Linked DNA regions of Arabidopsis thaliana. The protein of the gene in region 1 purifies or fractionates together with the protein of each later gene. This does not show direct contact. Each region holds a gene or a part of one and is shown in the gene's direction. Other genes may lie near its edges.

Region 1 (5,973 bases):
CAATTGATGCTTCGTAGCTCAATGCAATCAGATTTTGCGACGATTCTCTCGGCGAGATCTCTAGTCTCGTCGCTGTGGAAGAGACAGACGCGCTTAGAGCTCTTCGAACCGGATTCCGACGTCGCCGCGGCCATGGTTATAGGAGACGATGAATTCGGATTAATTAGGCTGATCGGATCCCCATTGGATAAGAAATCGAGGCTCCGGTGACCAGAGTGGTTCTCTAAGCTTCTGACTCCGCACTTGATGCAGCGATTACTGACTGAAGCAGTTTTGAAATTAAGAAACGATGGAGACGAAGAAGAAGATAACGAGGAAGAAGTTGAGCTAAATTGAGGCAGGGAGAGTGAAGCAGCGGTGGTTGCATTCGCCGGAGAAATAGCCGCCATTTCCGAAGACGAAGGGTCAAATTTACGAATTTTCCGGCGGATATCTTCAAATTAAATATACCGAATTTTTTTCGTTTATAAAACAAATCTGACATGTGGCGGAGACTCCGAAATGACGTAAATGCCCCTATCTGTCAAATGAGACACGTTATGAAGATGTTGGATAGTTTCGGTTTAATTGGCTAAGTAGCTAACCATCGGTTCAAGTTTAATTTGTCCGAATACCAAAAACGAATAGCAGCACTCTGAAACTAATTTGTTCAAGACTTGCTCGAAATGAAACGGTTTGTCTCGGTTTAGTTAGAATGTGGATAGGGAAATTCGGTTAGTTTCCGGTTTAAAGGGACAAAATTGGGAAGGTATACGCGCCTACTATGTGGAAAGATGATGTGTTAGTTGAAAGTTGAAACTAGAATACATTAGAATGTAGAAAATTTCAAGCTAACAATATTATTCTTAGCTTGAGTATTCCAATGGTAAACAAAAGGCTGCTCCAATATATTAGATCCAATAAATCAGAAGAAGCCATAAGTTTTAGAAAACGTTTACATATTTAAATAAGAATTTGTGTTTAAGGATTATGACATTTTCTGTTAAATAAATATCTAACAAATAGTAACGTTACCAAAATGATATTGCACCATAATTTATGTATGTGCACTAAGATAATGGTTTAGGGAAACTGCAATTCAGAAAACTACTAAACAAAGGTCATTCTAGCTAGATAAGAGGCAAACACGAGTTTATTGTTGAAGAAACTAAGAAATCACATATTTGTCGTTGCCGGCAAACACCGACCAAAAACCTCTATATATGTTTTCACAGGGTGCAAAAAACTTGAGCATCGGCGATGGAATCTCTACAAAATATGTTGACCGGTGATAATTAGAAAGTCAAAAATAGGACCGCCAACTGAAGTGTGAATCTCAACGACTCTTTCCATCTCGTTACTCCATTTATTACTTGCATCTAAAGGGTATTTTTATCTCTTTATATTTAATACATAGAAGTTGATACAAATACTATATATATTTGTGTAAATAAAAACACACCCTATGAATATAAAAATAAGTTATTTTTATAATTTACGTAGCTTAGGTCACGCGTTTCCTCGGGTTCCCTATTCTCATTTAAAACTCATTTTGTATATCCGTTCACGGGCTCTCTCTTTTCATATCAACTCTTCTCTCAGCCAGATTAGATATACTCCATTTCGTTTTCAATGACTATGTCGTCGTTTTACAATTGTCCACATTAGTTAACAGTATATATTACCTATTAATTAGTACTACTATAGAATCATTTTACAATACACAAAATATCTTTGATGAGTTTTTTTGCAGGATTTGACCACATGATATATTATTATATTTGGTGGCGTATGTATTTCACCGGATAAGATTATGGTTCACGTTTGTTAATGGGCGTGTATTTACACTAAGTACAAATATGCTTGAAGCAAGCAATACTGAGAGAAAATAGAGAAAAGTAGTTTTTTTTTTTTCCGTGAGTTTGTTAATGGGCGGCATTGTCATAGTGTTATTATACATTAAAGAGTTTTCTATGATTTTTATATCTACATATACATTTTTGATAGACTTTTTGGTCAAAAATCCCTTAACTATTTACTAATAACATTTAGGTCCTTACCAGTTATATTTCAACCAAATATTCTATTACTAAAAATTTATAATTTGTTAGTTTGCATTAAATACTTAAATTAACTCTTTTCTATATTACATATTTAGCCTCTACAAAATCTATCTAAAACAAATATGTGTCTAAATCCTTAATTAAATCTTATCATTATTGAACTACAATCAATTAATTACGAATTTTCTAAAATTTCTCTATCTACATTAAATATAAATATATGCTTTTTCTTTCACTTTTTGTTGTTCTTATATCTAATTTATTTGATTTTATATAAAATATATATAGTTTATAAAATATTAGATTTTTTCTGCATATGATGTAATTCAAATTTTTGTAAACAGACATATATTACTCTATGTATAAAGAAAAAAGTAAGTGTGAAAGATCCCACATTACTTAAGAAATTGGGCAATGCTTTAGAGTCTTATTATAAAAAGAACCAAAATAATTTTGAATAACAATGAACTGGAAGTTTGATTTATCAGGCATCCAAAAATAAAAATGTTATCCGGTTTACTCTGAATCTCTATTTTAAAGAACTGAATCTTTAAAAATTTCAAAATATTATAAATATTTAAAGTTTCTTAAAAGTTAAATATCAAAAAATTTAAAACTTTTAAAAAGTTATACTTTATTAAAATATATATATATATATTAATATGAGACAATATATATTACGGGTGAAATCCTATATATAACAATTAAAATACAATTATAAAGTTTGGATCAATATATATATATATATATATATATTTTAATTTCAATACCATAAATATTTAAATTTTAGAAAAATAACAAAATGATGTTTAATTTCACATGACGGGGTTATACGGTAGGACGCGTTTGAGTTGATATTAATATGGAATTATATATACTACGGATGAAATCATATAATTAACAATCGAAATATAATTATACAATTTTGAAAACAAAACCAAAGTAACAATATATATATATATATAACTTAAAATTTTAAATTTTTTAGTTCTAAAATTGTACCAAGGTGTATTATACGTTAAAAAAATAACATATGTCTATATATCATCTTAAAAACAAAATTACTTTTTTTTATATAAAAATATACATATGTGCTATACCTCTTAATATGTCATATATATAATATTAATTAGAATAAAATCGTTAAATTTCTAATGAATATCAACGGGTCAAACAAATCAACATTAATCCTATAAGAATCGACTTCATGTATTTTGTAATTTTGTTTCGAAGACATGCATCCATAAACTATTCATGACTTTGATATCATTTTCATAGTTTATAATATTCAAAGATTTTTTTTTTCTTTTTTTTTTTGTTAAAAAGATTCAAAAGATTTGGTTTCACTATAAGATAAAAATCTCAAATGCGATTAAATTTACCTGCAGGCTGCATGATCTAAAATAAAATAAAAATGACCTAGAAATTTAAATTTTGAAATGTAGGAATTGTTGCTACTTCTCTCATGCTCCTTTATTCCCTCCACTCTGCCCTCAGCCTCAGGCATCAGTAACGAATAAATATGAATATTTAAAAAAAACGTACAACTCTATCTCACTGTCTTTCTATAATTAAATTTGATTTTTTTTTTTATAAAAAGAAAACTTACAATAATTTTATTCAGCAAAATCAGTAGAAATTACCGAACTGAATCGACACCGATCTAACGTAATTAATACTCTGTTGACTATAAAACCGTCCTCTAAGAAAAAATGTCCCCTTCACTTCACATTCGCTCGCCACCAAAGTTAACCACAAAAAAAAAGTATCCAAGAGAGAGAGAACAAAACGTCTCATTCGTTCCCCACACATCAATCCCAAAAACCTAAAGCAAACCTTTGATTCTTTCATCTTCATCATCAACCATAACAACAAAACTCCTCTGTTTTTTTTTCACTTTCTCTGTTTCCTCTTCATTCACATTCGAGAGAAGTCATGGGATATTCCGGCAAACCTCACCACCAACTCGACGGCGAGATACGAGAATCCACCGACGGTAAAAAATGGGTCATCGCCGGAATTCCCTCACGTTCCCCTCTCAAGCAGATTAACCTATCTCCCGGCGTCACAGTTACCGAAACAGAGGAGCAAGATCAGTGTCCTACGACCCCTACGGCGGTTTCCGTCAGAATTCCAAGGGTCCCGCCGTGTCCAGCGGCGCCAAAGAAGCGTAAACCGTCGTTGAAGTGCAGTTACGTCACCGTCACTAGAGATTACTTCTCTCCGCCGGACCTAGAAACCGTTTTCATTCAAAGAGCTAGTTATTAACTCTGTTTTCACGACTCTGATCCCTCTCTCTCTCTTTATAACCTTCTTTTAGGGTTAGTTTTCTTCATCTAGTCGTAATCCTCGAATCTGGTTTAGTACTCTTCAGTCTTAGATTCTGAACTTAACTAAATTTACTCTATTTGTTTCTCAGTTGTATTAACGTTAGGACACTAATCAAGGTTAGTGAATATGAAGTGTTTGTTTCATGTTTATGTATATTTCTATTTCCCCCTGTTTTGAGTATAATTGATGTATATGATTTCTTAGCTTTATTCATTTACAAATTTTCTGTCTTTTGCATTCATACTCAGTGAATTTGGTTGATCATAAAAATCATTTATCCTCAAAATAGTTTTTTTTTCCTTGGAAGTTTGAAATGAAATTAACAACCCTAACAAATGTGGTTCACAGATCAAAAGTCTTACACTTTATCTACCTTTTTGGTTTACTTTTATCTCCATCTATATTTTTTTTAACTATACAAAAGAAAAGGAATCTTTCTTCTTTGCCTAAAAACTAAAAGAATCTTTTTTGTTCTTTTCTAAATGGTTGAAAAATTGAATGAATGCAGAAATCTCTCCCCCTTTATAATTATATCACAAGAACAATAGTGTCTTCTTTCTCGTTATTAGTCTCAACAATCTCTTCCTTTTATCGCAACATTTCTTCATCATTTATTGTTTAGATCATTCTCATAATTGGACATAGTTGGTGAATTTCTTCACTTATAGCATGCAATGAAATGTCATGTTATATCTGACATACCAAAGAATTTTTCTTTTGTTATACATTAAAAATTCAACCTGGTGGCATCTAATTTGTTTTTACCCCAAATTTTTTTTGGTTTTTCATTCAAATATATTACTATCCTACTTCACAATAGTTAAATGAAATAATTTAAATTGATTGTCTGATTGATATGTTACATAGTCATGACGTTTGTCTACGAAATATTTTATTATTTAACTGTGTGCACAAAAATATATGCAACTACGTCGGTAGTTTTTTTTTCGGTAAAGGATTTTAATATACATCAAACATCATTCGAAGATCAGTGACAGCCACCGACGCAAGTGGAATCCGAGAAAAGAATACGCCAAAAAGTTTTAGTCCTCATTGCATCAAAATTTCCAAGATTTTGGAAGTTTTCGAGTTTATACTGATATTCTTTTTCGTCAAAGATTTATTGTACAATACTTTTATAATATTTTTTTTAGTTTTTAAAATTTATCAATTTCTTGTGGGGTTTTAATTAATTTCTCTTGTGTCTTATAATTATATTATTTTTGTTTCTCCTTAGTTAGTAACGTGATTGTACATAGCTTTAGTTTGAATGTAACCAATAACTATACCCATTTATCGGGTTATACACTTCTACCACATTATAATCATTTTTTTTGTCATACTTTAACAGGGATCAAAATATCCTATTTGCGGAATCTTATTATGGCGAGTATATGCTTACAAAGATTAAGAAAATTATAAGTAGTAAACTATTCTTGTTAAAAGAAAAAGGCTTCTCTCGCGAGTGGATAACAGAAAGCAAATGCTATAGCCTATATATGTGAGGCTTTAGTTGAAGAAACTCAGATGTTTTGAAGATCACTCGTATACGTAAAGCTGATTGAAAAAAGTTTTTTTTTTTTAATTTTTAATTATAGGT
Region 2 (7,201 bases), on another chromosome or scaffold:
AGGTGGCTGATCATTTTGTTGTACTCTATTCCTTCAACGAACCATTTTGTATTACATTTTGTCAATTATATAATTTTATGAGTATGTGAAAGTTAATATGTTATATTCAATTATTCATAGAGTTTTATATTCTCTTGCTAAAACCATGATGCTTCCCACCTAACACTTGTTAGTCTTTTATACACCAAAACGTAAATCGAAAAAAGAAAAAAATTTACTTATCCAAAATCCAAGCTGTAACCAAAGTTATAAATCGGACACACGTAAATAGAAATATTTGGTCAAAGTTTGACTGTCTTGGAATCGTAAAAAACTTTCACACAGTCAAAGGTTCCACTTAGATGGGCACCAAGCCCCAAAGAAATTCAACACATGGCACAGACTATATCGTCACTGTAATTATTTATTTTAAACCTTTTTTACTCTTATAGGAAACTTATCTAGTAGTGACATGATATCATAATTTATATTTATATCATATAGTTTTTTGGATTGTTACTAGTTAGGCAGAGGTGGAGCGTCTTCTTCTTCTTCGTTTCTGAGGCAATCCAGCCTTTCGCACGTGACCGACGCTCCTCCACTGTAGTTATTGTCACGTGCGCCATCATTCCACCATCAATTTTTTTTTATATATTATATCATATTTCTTTCATGTATTATTCAACATCATACACAATTGATATTTGATAGTGTTATGTCTTTTTTGTCCATAGAGACCTTCTTGTGGAAACAGAGGGACCGAGTTTCTTTGTTTTTGCTAGAGGATGAATAGACTAATACACACCTCGAAAGGAATCATAAGTAGATTGGAAAATATTGTGTGTAACGTGTGTTAGGTATCCTAGATTTGTTAGTTCATTAAAAATGTGATCAAATTATATTTGGTTACTAACTCTTTTTTTTTTTTATATGTCTGACTGTTAACCCTTCTTAACTCTTAAGAGTTCACTATGTTCAAATAGGAGCATTTATTTTCGTCTCATTTGCTATATGTAATGTCATATTTAGTTACCAATATTACATTTTATTTTCCACATAATAGTAATTTTATTAAATGCGTGAAATAGACCACAAAAGACTTTGATTCCTTATCAACAAGGGAAGACAATCATAGAAAGAAAAGCACGAGAAAACAAAAATAATTTTGTTTCACCAAAAAAAACAAATTAGACATAGATATTCACCAAGCGAGTTAGCCTAACGACCCAAAACTTGTTTTGAAGTGATAAAAAAATATCCTGCAAATTCATCATCATCGTTACTAATTTCGGTCAATCTTGGCAATTGCAGATCACATCATCTAAATTCTAAAATGATGAAATGCATTTTTCAAGTTATTGTGAAATTGGTCCCTCATCTTGACTACATACAAACATCTCAGAAAAAAATTTGTAACATAATGTAATCATTGTATATATATACATAGAAATGCACAATAATACAAGTCAGAAGTTAAAAAAAGGAAATACAAAAATAATCTGTAAAATACGTAATGTGAGAATATTACTTGTATCTAGGGGGGAGATCGAACAAATGCTGCTGATACTTCACTAACATACACATAAAAGTTGCAGATTTTGGATCTTGCGTCTTCTTGGTTTTATACCCTTTTCTTACATCTAGTCTTATAAATATTAATACTATAATAGAAAAATTAATTATCCTATATATTGAATGACTCGGCTCCAAAGCCATGCGCCTATATATACAAGTCTTTTTATTTTTTAAAAAATTTGTCAAAAAAGGGACCAGAAACATATAAAGATGGGAGCCTCATTTGCTGATGGATAAATAAATATTTATTTGATTTTAAGTTTGTTCAAGACTAATTATAGTACAAATTAGTAAATTGTTGTTCTTTTTTTTTCTTAACATATTACATATTGTATAGTATAATTCCACTTTCATCCAATTGGATAATCAGTTATAATTCGGATGGTTTACGATACATCGGATTCTGCTTTCAATTTTTCTTGTATACATCAAAATTTAACACATGATAAGGTTTTGGAACCCGCTAACGAGACCTACCTATTTTTACAATAAATATACTCATTCAGTATTTGTCTATATTTCTACCTACAATCTATGTGAATTTGCTTACGTATATCTACTCTTCTTATCTACGTACTGTATAAATTTTCATACACAATCTTCGTGTCTCGTAACATCTACTACATGAGTCATATACAACTTTCTCACCTAACATGGAAGTCATTACTCGTAGGCCTAATTACTCGTTACCGTGAATATAACTATAAAAAGTGAGGAAACAAAAAGATTTACGGAGAAGAAAAATTGAATAATAATTGCAATAGAACTATAGGAAAATTTGTATATGACTTAGCAAAAATAATGATATGGAACTAAATTAAAAAGTTGAGAGGATTTTTTTTAGTGGGAATGGTATGGTGTTTCCCCCACCAATTCCTAAAAAAAACTTATTGCAAAATTGCTCTTTTGATCTTTATTTTCTTCCATTGAAAATGAATTTCTAGGTCTGAATTTAATTGAAGTCAATAAGTGGGAAATAACTAAACTAGCTATTCCTCTGTTTTCTGTTCACAATTCTATTTTGAATAAAGTACATTTTAATTCAAACCTCTTAAAATAGAAGTTACTACAAAAGCAACAAAGGGGGTGGTACGTGGAATACACTAATGAGAAATGTTAATAAGAACGTTGTATTTGGAATGGGATTTAACTTTCTGCACATAAATTTCAATGGGATCATTATTCTTTCCTAACTAAATGATTGATACAAATTCAAAGGATCCTATAAATCTTATCTCAGAGACCGAAAGAAAATTCCATTTGTACAAAACAACAAATAAATAGAAGAAAAAGTTTGATGATAACATTCTTAACAGAATCCGTGAACTTTGTTCATGTAAGAAATCTAGAGTGTAATCAAGGAAGTTCAACAGGTAAAAACAATGACATTTATATATGGACGTTCTTAAAACGTGTAAATCTCATATATTTAAGACAGCCACAATAGTTCTAAACGCTCTCCATTCCTGCATTAAGTATTTATTTCTATTAATAACATTTAATTTATCAATAAAGTTCACATTATCATAGACAACTCCGAAATTAAAAAAGTTTTTTTAAAATAAATTTGCTTAAACTTAAATAATCAACAAAATACAAAACAGTTTAATGGAAATAGCAGAAATCTTTTTCAAGAAAATACAATACTATTAGATAAAAACAATTTTGTTAAATTAAAAAAAACCCATAATTGACTAGCATCAAAAAGTCTTCAAACACAAGTAATCCTGCTGGATATTAAAAAAATAAAAGAGTAATCATTCCTTTAAAAAATGTGATTATTTGTCGACCCAAAAAAAAAGAGTGATGATATTATACATATACTCAAATATTAGTGAACAAATAAAACCTAAAATTAATCAAATAATAAAGATTTTTAATTTAAATGTAACCGCTAAATAACGCCCCCTCTCTCTCCCCCACTTATTTTTGGCGGCACCAGACGCGGGAGACTCTCTCTCTCTCTCCACTCTCTCTCTCTTTTTTCTTTGTTTTTTCGTCACTTGCTCCTAAAATCCCAAATCGAGTAATGGAAGAAAAATCAAATACGATGATTTAGCTTCCCTTCTTATTCTTCCCCTATATTCACTGCGATAACTTTGCCTCTCATCTCATAAATTAAAAAAAAAACACTCTTCTCACAAATTCTTTATAATTCCCCTTTTGATGTGTACGGACACACCACCGAAGCAGAAGCAGAAGAAGAAGAACACTTCTATCTCCGCCGCCGCCGTCGTCTTCATCATCATCGCCGCCGTTAAATGGGTGAGCCTAAAGACAGTCTCGCTCTCTTCCTCTGCCACGAATCGGAGTCTTCTCTAAACGAAGACGACGACGAGACGATTGAGAGATCTGATAAGCAAGAACCTCACTTTACTACTACGATCGATGATGAAGATTATGTGGCAGACCTTGTTCTTAAAGAGAATCTCCGATTCGAAACCCTACCCTCTAAAACGACGTCGTCTTCCGATAGATTGATTGCCATCGATTGGATTCTCACTGTCCGTAATCTCAAAAAGATTTTCCCTTTTTTGATCTTTGTCTTAATCTCTGATTGATTGGTTCTTTGTCTTAATCTCAGACAAGAACAAGATTTGGGTTCCAACATCAAACAGCTTACATTGCAATCTCATACTTCGATCTGTTTCTCCACAAAAGATTCATCGGTGTAAGTTTCAATCTCCAGTTTCATTTATCTATAAAAATCTCACCTTTATCTTCAGATTAAAGCTTAAAGATGGTTTCTTTGTAGTTGCAGAAAGATGAAACATGGGCGATGCGATTGTTATCAGTAGCTTGTTTATCATTAGCTGCTAAAATGGAGGAACGTATTGTTCCTGGTTTATCACAATACCCTCAAGATCATGACTTCGTTTTCAAACCCGATGTCATTCGTAAAACTGAACTGTTGATTCTATCCACATTGGACTGGAAGATGAACTTGATCACTCCTTTTCATTACTTCAACTACTTCCTTGCTAAAATCTCTCAGGACAACCATTCTGTTTCTAAAGACTTGGTGTTGTTAAGATCCTCTGATTCTCTTCTTGCTTTAACTAAAGGTAACTCTATTAAGAAACACATTTTTTTCTCAAGATCAAAGCATTTATTGATATCACATTTTTGTTTCCATGTAGAGATAAGTTTTACGGAGTATCGACAGTTTGTTGTTGCTGCTGTTACTACATTGCTAGCTTCTTCTTCTACCTCATCGGATATTAGATTGACTAGAGAAGAGATAGCTAACAAGTTTGGTTCGATCTCTTGGTGGACTTCTAATGAGAATGTATAAATCTTGGTGTCTTTTTATTCGATTTTGATTGTTTGATGTTGATGATCATAATCTTAGGAGTGTTGGGTTTTGTAGGAAAATGTATATTTGTGTTATCAGAGAACGCTAGAGATTGAGGAGAGGAAACATATGACACCTCCACCGGAAATAGCGGTTTCTCGCGAACCGCCGGCTTCAGGAAGTGGCGCTAAACGCCGATTGTCTTTTGATGATTCTGATCAAAGTTCTCCACCAGCCAAGAGAATGCGTAGGCTATGAAGAGAGAGTTTCTTTCTTCTTCAAGTTTTGGCTTATATTGATTTGGTTTCTTTTTTGGCAACATATTGATTTGGTTTTATATTCAATCATTTGATTATAGAGAAAAAATGGTCTGAATACATCGGTTATTTCAATTTTTATGAAGTAACTCATATAGGTTCTTCGTATGAAGGTCTTTGGATTTCTTGGGGATGAAATGTGACTATTAAAACATTAGGGGCTTCTCTGAGAGAATCTAGGAAATATGAGGAGTGAATGTAAATAAATAAGAAAAACAGAAAGGGTGAATAGTTTTAGGCCAATAGTTGCAGTGCCAGTGATTTGGTTTCACATCCTCTTTTATTTTTTTATTGTCTTATTTTTTTATTTGTTATGTTGCAATTTCTTTTTCATTTGATATTACAAAATTTTGTCATAGATTTTTTTTTTTTTTTGGCATCAAAGTCCATTTTTTTAACCTCTTTAACTTTCAAAAGGGCTCATTCATAGCAAATAATAAATGAAAAAACTCTTTTTAAGGTAAGGTAAAATTATTTTATATTTGATAAATATATTTATTTTCTTATCTTTATTGACACTTTTGGTCATCTCCAAAGTGAATCCATCTGTATGCTACTCAACATGTTATGTCCATTCCACAAAGTCCTTCGTGATCTTTTCATGTTCTCAAATCTCAATATATAATATCTTGGAAAAAAATTAATCAAATAAAAAGAAAATTTTCTTGTTTAGGAAAAATCATCGTTACTTATCTTTGATAGATAACTACTTTTACGAATTGACAATCAGTCGATCACGATAAACTAAAACGGATATATATTTTGCTCCAATAAGTTTTCTTTAGCATTATAGAAACCAACAACTTGTAGTGGAACTGTGGAAGTACTTTGGATCAATGATTGGATCTAAAGATGAAACCCCAATTTATACAGAAATTTGCATGTGATGTTTTTAAGTTAACGTACTATTCTACGCGCAAGTCAAAAGTGCATCGTACTCGTACATATAGAGGTAGATTGTTTTTTTTGTGTGTGTTTATAGGATTATTGTTAATATTTTCAATGAAATGCAGTTGAGAAAAAAAAAAAAAAACATATGTGTAATAGACTGAAGAAACAACAACCCAACGACTTGTTTAAGTGAGAAACAACTGTCTCATACAATACAACTTGGGATCCAAAGTTTTGGTTCCATTAATTAAAGCTTTAATTCCAAAATGATTAGCAACGAATTAAAAGACTTATTACAAACAAAATGCATTCTTACAAATTAAGAAGCATAAAGTACTGACAGAATATAATTAAAGATAATGTGTGTGTGGTTTAAGGCCAATGTTTTGTTGCTCTAAGAGATTATTCAACAAATCAAGAAGCATAAAGGGTCAAGCTTTACTTCACCAAGAACTAGTTAATGCTTCTGAATTTTCTGTTGCCTATCTTTCAATGAATATTAGTATGTCCCAATTGTTATTTTTTTTTTTTGCTTATTATCATTGAGTTAAACCATTTTGTTTCTGTTGGGTTTTGTGTAGACATATGTGAGATTCACGGGTAACACAATTTAGTTACAACTCTCACTTTGGTTAGGAGATGGATAAACTAATGACTAGTGAGATTGAAATATCACAAAAATAACTAATCTTTATGTAAATTCTATTTTCATTCTAGATATTAATTAGTCCTTTATTTATGAACATTTATTCACACGATCACAAACTTAAACAATTAGTTATAGAATATTTTACCGGTCTAATGTTCACATAGAAATTATAATTTACCTATACGCCTACAAGGGACAAATGACTATAGTATACTCATTTTTTCAATCTAAAAAATGGTTTTACTTCATAGAGATCCTAAATTGATAACATTTAAAAATGTTTTTTTCTTTTCTTAAAGAAGAGTCTTTCTTATTTATTACAGTTTTGAGATTGACAGGCTTTGGAATTGTTATATGGAATCAGTTTTGACTGATGAGATATGATGTCAGGAGAAGAGGCTCCCACTAAAAGCCATGACTTCATTGAGAGATTTTCTAAGTATATCAAATTACAGTCTGGCTAGATAACAATTTTGTACCCAAATAATCATTTTT

What was found.
Region 2: the proteins of AT1G10690 (region 1) and CYCD5;1 purify together in Arabidopsis thaliana (affinity purification with mass spectrometry, with the first as the bait; one large-scale study listed by BioGRID). This does not show direct contact.

What each region holds. Positions count from the first base shown.
Region 1 is NC_003070.9:3,548,573-3,554,545, reverse strand, and holds AT1G10690 (cyclin-dependent kinase inhibitor), read left to right. Parts: upstream 1-3,697; 5' UTR 3,698-3,977; coding exon 3,978-4,310; 3' UTR 4,311-4,626; downstream 4,627-5,973. Other genes in the region: PRS3 (phosphoribosyl pyrophosphate (PRPP) synthase 3), read right to left, coding at 1-389. UniProt on the Arabidopsis thaliana protein: Probable cyclin-dependent protein kinase (CDK) inhibitor that functions as a repressor of mitosis in the endoreduplication cell cycle.
Region 2 is NC_003075.7:17,675,682-17,682,882, forward strand, and holds CYCD5;1 (cyclin d5;1), read left to right. Parts: upstream 1-3,486; 5' UTR 3,487-3,815; coding exon 3,816-4,058; intron 4,059-4,138; coding exon 4,139-4,225; intron 4,226-4,309; coding exon 4,310-4,619; intron 4,620-4,694; coding exon 4,695-4,843; coding exon of another isoform or gene 4,844-4,849; exon of another isoform or gene 4,850-4,924; coding exon 4,925-5,107; 3' UTR 5,108-5,583; downstream 5,584-7,201.